Linked DNA regions of Bombyx mori. The protein of the gene in region 1 purifies or fractionates together with the protein of each later gene. This does not show direct contact. Links are inferred from orthologs where the notes say so. Each region holds a gene or a part of one and is shown in the gene's direction. Other genes may lie near its edges.

What was found.
Region 2: the proteins of actin-binding protein WASF3 (region 1) and probable protein BRICK1-B purify together in Drosophila melanogaster (affinity purification with western blotting; 4 studies listed by BioGRID, with this or other methods). This does not show direct contact. The link is inferred for Bombyx mori from reciprocal best matches to the Drosophila melanogaster genes SCAR and HSPC300.

Annotation. Positions count from the first base shown.
Region 1 is NC_085109.1:3,354,014-3,358,367, forward strand, and holds the start of actin-binding protein WASF3, read left to right. Parts: upstream 1-1,500; 5' UTR 1,501-1,738; intron 1,739-4,354.
Region 2 is NC_085125.1:1,885,675-1,889,745, forward strand, and holds the start of probable protein BRICK1-B, read left to right. Parts: upstream 1-1,235; 5' UTR 1,236-1,745; coding exon 1,746-1,866; intron 1,867-2,307; coding exon 2,308-2,390; intron 2,391-3,216; coding exon 3,217-3,243; 3' UTR 3,244-4,071. Other genes in the region: focadhesin, read right to left, coding at 650-930.

The DNA of each region.
Region 1 (4,354 bases):
TTTCCCCAAACTGTTTTTATATTATTATTATTTCTGATGAATAAATGCATTCACGTCATATGTATATATATTTTTCACTTCAAATTTAACGATGAGAATTAAATGATCAATTTCAGAAATTTTTTATGTGTCACTCTTTAAACTCACAAAACCATTTCCACATTAATATTAATTCAATTCCCCATCTTTTTAGAAAAAGAAAAAAATCCACTCTGGTAACCGTGAACTGACGTATGAGATTTTCTATGGTTTTTTTCTTCATTTGGGCAGACACATGGATCCAAGTGACTATAAAACTCAAGGTTCATTCATATATTTTAAGTACGAAAGTCATGCCGTTTTTTAAAAGACAAAAATAAAATCAATTAACTCTAGTAAAAAGGTTTCTCACCTTTACTACGACTAAAAAGGTATTTTTGGGAGAACCTGAGAAGACTTGTCGAGTGAATACTAAAAAATCAACCAGCTACAATTAAGCCAGAAAAAAAAAAAAAATTGACAAATTAAAACAATTAAAATATCAAGATTCAACAAGAAGAAACAAAGTTCTAACCGTTATAAAAAATCCTTGTATTTTGATGCTGTCCAATGAGAAATTCACTAACCTTTCTCAAAGTCCACAACAGTAAGCATTTCAGTCTGCAATTCGACACTTTGTTCTATGAGTATTCAAATTAATTAATTAAAACCAAATTTCGGACTTAATGTTACCATGTAATGAATTTTAACACCCAAAATTTATTATCATAAAAGAATTTGTACATTTCCTTAGTGACGTTACTCAAATTAGTCTTTGAGTGGTTAATTTTTGATCATTCTTTTGAATTTTTCTACTTTCCAAAATATGTAAGTGGTGCTTCTCTTACAAATAAACACACAAAATATTTCTCTGTGTGGCTGTAATAAATACTTAAATTCCTGCTCATGTTTGATGACTTGTAGGTTAGGATGTAGACAGTAAGCCTGAAAATTTTTTTTCATTGTTGGTAATATATAATGCTAAGTTGTAGTAAAATAAAAAATTGTATGGAGTTTCAGGTTGTTGACCATGATCTTTTTCACGCATCTATACAATAAATTAATTAAAGAATGGCTTAGCATTTCTATCAGGTAGATCCAAGGTCTAATGAAAGCAAATGATTATAGTCATTTAGATTTTTTTGAAAACTGTTAGTAACAGCTATGCGCCATTAAAAAACCATTTCATACAAAATAAAAAAATCAATTAATAAATGCGAAAGTGAAGTGTATTTTTTTTAATCATTGCTTTGCACATATTCATTGATATTCAAACAACATAATATTATTCTAGTGAACACAAAACAAGAATTTATCCTACTTTCAGGTCAAGATAATAGATTTTTTATTTCTGTATATTATTATGCCATAAATAAAGACAGTTGATAACTTATTTTGTCGTAAGAATATCTTTTAGTATACCTCCACTGGCAGATTGGCATATATTCAGTGCATAATAAGAGATTGGCTTGGCAGCCCAGTTGTAGATATGGCAACATTGATTTTAACGCTGCCTGCCATTTTCGTTTTGTGGCACAGTAAGCGGCGGTCCTAATGTGTAATTCTCGTAATATCTTGAGTTTGTTATCATTGTAAAACGTTTGTTAAGAATAGTGTACCCGTTTAATGTGACCTGGAAAAACGTGACAGTTGTAGTGTTCAAAGTTAACACCAAAGTAAAGATAAATTGTTGACTTCCTTGGGTGGAGAGGGTGAGTAGGTATTTCTTTATTATTTGATTTTGTATCTTAAAATTGTTTCGTTAATATATTAGTAAGGGATATGTTTATTGCATATTTCCCATGTATTAGATTGTAAATTTTTTACAAGTTAATTGTTTCGCATTGTAAGACCTCTAGGGCGTAGTGGTAAGCACCGAAGGTTTATCATTAGTGTAAAGTGTCACCACACCTATGTTTAACTGTCATCATTGATAGAAATATGTAAAATGCGAATGTCTATGAAATATATGAACGATTATTTCTTAAAAGTTATAGAGAAATCAAATTTAATTAAAAATATAATCAAATTCAGTATTAAAAAAAAAACTATTTTTAACAAATCCTTATCTATAAACCGAATACATCATATAAGTCTAAAATTGACGTATCAATTAATTACCTAGTATGGTAAAAATAAGTATGTAAAGAAGATCCAATTAGATTTAAATTTTTGAATAAAATGTTCATAGATGGAAAGAAGTATGGTTCAAATTTAATAAGCGAATTAAAGAAATGAAAAACAAAGAAACTAATATGTTTTATGATACAGTAATTAGTGTTTGGAGCTTTTATGGGTTATTTTAACTTTAGAGCACTTTTCCAGAATCAACTTTGTTACTACAATTAACACCACAACTATCTTTGACTAACTTTGGGCAGCAACGTTAGTTAAGTATGTGCAGATTGCACAAAATAAATTGAAAATTTACACCAAAAAATTAGTCACTGGGATAGTCTGGCAAGAAAGGTAAAGTGATATTTGGTAAAGAGAGAAAGTTATGAGTGTTTTCAACTCGTTATAACATACATCATGCAAATCTTAAATTAAAATTTTGTATGATATACATTGTAGACGTAACCCTCTTATAACACAGTATTTTGTAACACTGTTCCACTCAAACACCAAAAGAAAAATTCTCCGAAACCATCATACTAAAATGTAGTATTTTTACAAAACAATAATCAGGGTTTTGTTTAAAATTATTAAGAAAATTACATTATGCACTTTGAACACAATATATGGGAATAACTGAAATTTAACTAATTTAAAATATATAATAGGTTAGTTACATTACATAGTTGAGATGTTTCATTCAGAAAAATTAGTCCCCTTTTGTTCTGGTTTCAAGTCTCATATAACATGGTTTGGCACAATACGGGATTTTGTAAGAATGTATCTACTCTATTATAGAATGGTTACATGTATTATATTTTTAAAGGTGATTAACAATCAATTATCAATAAATCCTAAATATCTATCATATTTTGATTATTTTACATTAAGGGGCCTACCTTGGTTTTTGGTTATTTATTGGATATACATGAACATGTGCTAGGCCTATAAGCATTATTTTGCATGTTAAATAGACAAAATGTTGACAGCTTTCCTAATGGGATTACAATACTTCGTATTGCAAGTCTTTATGAAGCAATACTTTAGTCGTCGTGGCCTAACGGATAAGACGTCCGGTGCACTCGTGTTGAGTGTGTTGATGTTCGAATCTCAGGCGGGTACCAATTTTTCTAATGAAATACGTACTCAACAAATGTTCACGATTGACTTCCACGGTGAAGGAATAACATCGTGTAATAAAAATCAAACCCGCAAAATTATAATTTGCGTAATTACTGGTGGTGGGACCTCTTGTGAGTCCGCGCGGGTGGGTACCACCGCTCTGTCTATATCTGCCGTGAAGCAGTAATGCGTTTCGGTTTGAAGGGTGGGGCAGCCGCTGTAACTATACTGAGACCTTAGAACTTATATCTCAAGGTGGGTGGCGCATTTACGTTGTGGATGTCTATGGGCTCCAGTAACCACTTAACACCAGGTGGGCTGTATATGACAAATTCAAATATAAAAATTTGATATACCAATTTCAAACTGAAGGCTAACTTTTATGACCATCAAATATACTACACTACAGTGCTCAAGATGATCTTAAACACTGCACTTTTACCCTAAAGAGATTTTGTTACAAATGTTGTAATAGATTATCATACAAGATATTTATAACGAACACTGTAACTTAACAATAAACTAACAATCTTTTGTAACATCATTTGATTAACTACAATATTAATGATCTTTTAATACCAAAATATATCATTTAATGTCATGCCACTGTAAACAAATCACTATTAGAATAGTTGAATCAGAATGAATGTAGTTTTAAGTATATCCTGATTTTTAAAAGTATTTTTGATCAATAATTTTAAGAATTGATATCTGATATGTCCTATATTAGTGGTAGAAGTTTGTATGTGTCACACAGCTGCAAGTTATAAACATAACAGAGGCAAAACAGCAACCATGAAGTCTTATGTTCTTGTCCAGCCTCTAGTGATTCTTTTGAGGGGTTTGGTAGTTGGGGGAGGGTAATCCATCTACTGTTTAAAGTTAGGGTTATAAGAGCATCATAGTATTAAACTCTAAACTATCCCGGAAATACTTAAAAAATTGTATATCTCTTATCACCCTGCCCTCTGCGATGGCAAGTCTAACGACGGGAGATAAAGATGTATTGTTGTAACAACTCAATCTAGGGAGCAGACAGACTCTAGAGTAGTCTAGAGCAAAGAAACGTTCGTAAGGCAAAGCACTTAGTGCGAAATAA
Region 2 (4,071 bases), on another chromosome or scaffold:
TCCACAGAAGGTAGCTGTTTACTTTGAGACAAAAAGGCAAGGGATTAAAAATGTGCTGATCAATTTCCCTTACACCAGTAAGTTCAAATTTCCTAGCTAAAGCTCACACACATTATTTACTTTGCACATTTAGAATGGTTTATGAGTGTTTGGTATAAATGTTAATAAAATCAATGAAGTCGAATGAAAAGTTTGCTTTTAGGCAAGATCAAGTTACATACCAACTTATTCTATTTGTGGATGAGGCCATTTTGAAAATAAAACAACAATTAGTTATTACTTGTATACCTGATTTTATATAATACATTATACTAATGATACGTAATTAAATTGAAATAGCTTTGAAAACAATATAAATTAATATTTAAACATTTATTTTGATAAAGTATTTTTAATTCTTATCAATTTATAGTCTTTATTTTGATTCTTGAAAAGCTACTTAGTTATATTTTTTGTTTTAATTATAAATACTAGTACTCCTAATACATATTTGTTTATACTACATCAAAATTAATAAGACAAAATTGAGTATAACCTCACTGCAATGAAGTAGCTGAGATACTACAAAAATATCAACATACAATTTATTTATACTAAGTTTAGTTTTAAATGTACCATATGGAAACTTAATGAGAATTCGTGTACTTACTGCGCAGTCGGTATGAGTGTTACTACAGTGGACATTGTGTGCGGTATTTCCAAAACACCGAGTTCCACCAACGCTAGGAGTCCTTGACAGGCTGTCAGGCTCACAACAGGATCTTTGGACGAACATTTCTTCCTCAAAAACTTCAATTCCTCGTTTTCCAAAACGAATCTCTGTCGTTCTTCACGTTTGAATTTTGATTTTATCAATGTTATCAACTTTTCTACTGCGTTGACTATTAAGACACTGTTGTTAGTTTTCAATTTGTATTCGATTTCGTCCATTTTTATGTTTTCTGTGTAAAATTTGTAAGCCGGTAATTTATAGGCTATTGCAGATACAGATTTTTTTAAGTTAATTTCTAACCTAAGTCCTAAATCAAACAGCTGTTTAATGTTGTCATTTTTTGTTCATCTTGTTCACTTGAACAGGAAAAGGGCACATTGCTCGTACAGCCAAATCTTGAAATAAAAAAAATAAAAAATTAACCTTCTTTACAAAAACAATTGGATATTTATGCTACGTATGATGTATTAGCACGAGAACGATCTCATAGCTCGCCTGATTTAAAGCACCACATCCATGGCCCATAGACATCCCAAAATAAATTCCGCCACATACCTTGAGACACAAGATCAAAGTTTCATTTGTATGGTTTAACGGTTGTATCTCGGAACGTATACTGCTAGGCAGTAGAACTACAATAGGTGAATATACCTGCCCAGGGCTAACAATACGTCCTACTACAAGAAAATGTCGTTTGGAGATCGCAATAGGACGGTATACTCAAGGAACGCTGCTTGCCACTCCACGGTGAATGACTTCGTCGACTTTTGTGACACTGATGAGTAGAGATATTGTAGTGGATTCTGATTCTAAGCTGACATCGCATCCTCTGCCTCAATTAGAACAATCAACGAGCAAAATTCTAAGCTGTCAAATGTCAAACTATTATTATTTGTTTGAAACACTGAATGAATGAAAAGATTTACCTCAATTTGATTCATTAATTAAACTTGATAACTCTTTTAAAATACTTAAGTACAGAGTAAATCTACTTTATAAGCTATTTAAAATAAGTCGTGACTGATTATATATAATGTCGACGCCTCCAAGAGAAACAATACAGAAACAAATCCAGCAGGATTGGGCCAACAGAGAATACATAGAAGTGATCACAGGCAGCATAAAAAAAATTACAGACTTCCTCAATTCGTTCGGTAAGTGTATCAATATCAGCAGCTACAGGAGGTTCTTAAACAAGAAACATTTTAATTTCAAATTCAGAACACTATTAATTTTTCATAGGATAAGGTACTCGCCTTTCAAAACACAAGGAATGGAAAAATCTCAGTCGTCAGTGAAAAATGTAGTTTTCGAAACGATGGTAATAATAAAATAACAATAAAAATGGGAGATTAAACTGTAAATATATTTTCAATTAAACATACAACAAAAAAGTAGTCTACAACTACTGTTGTCTACAACTATTGTTGTCTACGACTATTGTTGTCTACAACTATTGTTGTCTACAACTATTGTTGTCTACAACTATTGTTGTCTACAACTTGCAGAACCCATAGAAAATATTCTGTTAAAACAGGTCAAAAAATGTAAGTCTTTATAAATGTGAAATTATCATAATATCATCAAATTTTCAGACATGTCCTGTAGATCTCGCCTTGCCACTTTGAATGAAAAATTAACATCATTAGAGAGGAAGATTGATTATTTGGAAGCTTGTGTAAGTAGTTACATATCGACGCTTGAAAGGCAAACGTGACTAAGCGACAATGCGTAAACTTTACAGTAGACTAATTTAAAGTTGAAATACCTGAAAACAAAATTTATTTTAATGAATCTATCTGTAGTAGAATCTAGCTAGTAGCTGTAAGATTGAAATGATTTTAATAGACATAGAAATATATTTTTTCTGTGCATCAAATATGGTTATTGCCTATCATTTATGTACAAAGCAGTTATTGTTGCTTAGTCACATTTGCCTTTCAAGCGTCGATATGATCAAATAGTTGTCAAATGCGCATCTGACATCATACGCATTACATCATAAATCTTCTAGATGAAGCTTGTATTTTTTTGCCTTTTTAGACAAATGAGGAAACACCACACCTGATGATGAGTGGTTATTGTTGCCCAACAATTTCTGCACTGCCAGAAGCAGTCTTGCTGCTGCAAATTACAGCAAAAAAAAAGTTCCTAACTAACTAATAAATTAATAAATAAAAAATCCTATTGAAATTATTCCAAAAAAGCACTCACTAAGTTTGGATGTGATTTTTTCAAACATCATTCAATAATGAAGTGAAACTTAAAATTCATAATTTTTTTATGAAATATGTACACATTTCTCTCATAAAGCAATTGTGTATTCTTGTTTCAAGAGTAAGATAAATACTTTCCAATTATTATGAGTTTAAAATTGACCTTCTGCATCAATTTGGATAGCACTATTTTGATGTCCATGGGTTTTTTTAAGTCCCTAGTAGCAGTTTGACTATAAACAAATCCAGTAATCTAGTAATTACCATATAAATTGTTTTTATTTTCAGGTAACTAAAGGTGAAACCTTAACATGAAGTAATCTTTGATAAATTCCATATAATTATAAGCGTTAGACATAAGTTCAATAATGTAGCAATCACTGAACAATCTCTACTCTCCAGTATAACAAAACTGCAATAAAATTTGGATATTAAAAGTACATATTATATATCGAACTACTTTGAAGCAATGTTAAAAAATATGTTATTATTAAGACCTGATATAGGTAAGGTGTGTTTAAATTATTGAAGCCACTGCTTTAGGCATGATGAGATTAGTATTAGGAGGCACTCTGTGGCAAGAATGAATAAAAATAGAATTTCTCTCGCTTTCTCCTCTGCTATCTATTTATTTCTTTTATGTTCCATTTCTGTTACTTTCAATGAGCTACACAAGAATATCTTTATTTATACATGTCTAAATTTTATATCTTTAAGTTCACTAAACTGAATCACACAAGAATGTGTTTATACACGTTTTGTATATGTATAAATTTTATATATTAAAGTTTACCAAAATCAGCACATTCCATTTGCAAAATTAGCTTTGTTGCTGATTCTTTCACCAAGAAAACAAGTTAAATATGTAAAGAAAAAATGTCAATTGTATTAGACTGAACATGCATAAAACAAAGTGGTTCTCTTTCTAGAAATTTATAAATAACTAACTGTAACCAATTTCGCGGAGAGTTGATGATGATTGCCTGAATCGCGGTAGTGTATTTGACTACAGACTCAAAGTAGAGGGGGACGGACGAAAAACTGAAACATAAATCTAGAAGTACATTCGAGTGCACATGTCTGATGTTTGGAGAAGGATTCAATAGATTCTTACTGTTTTTTTTTCCTACCTAAGCTGATAGC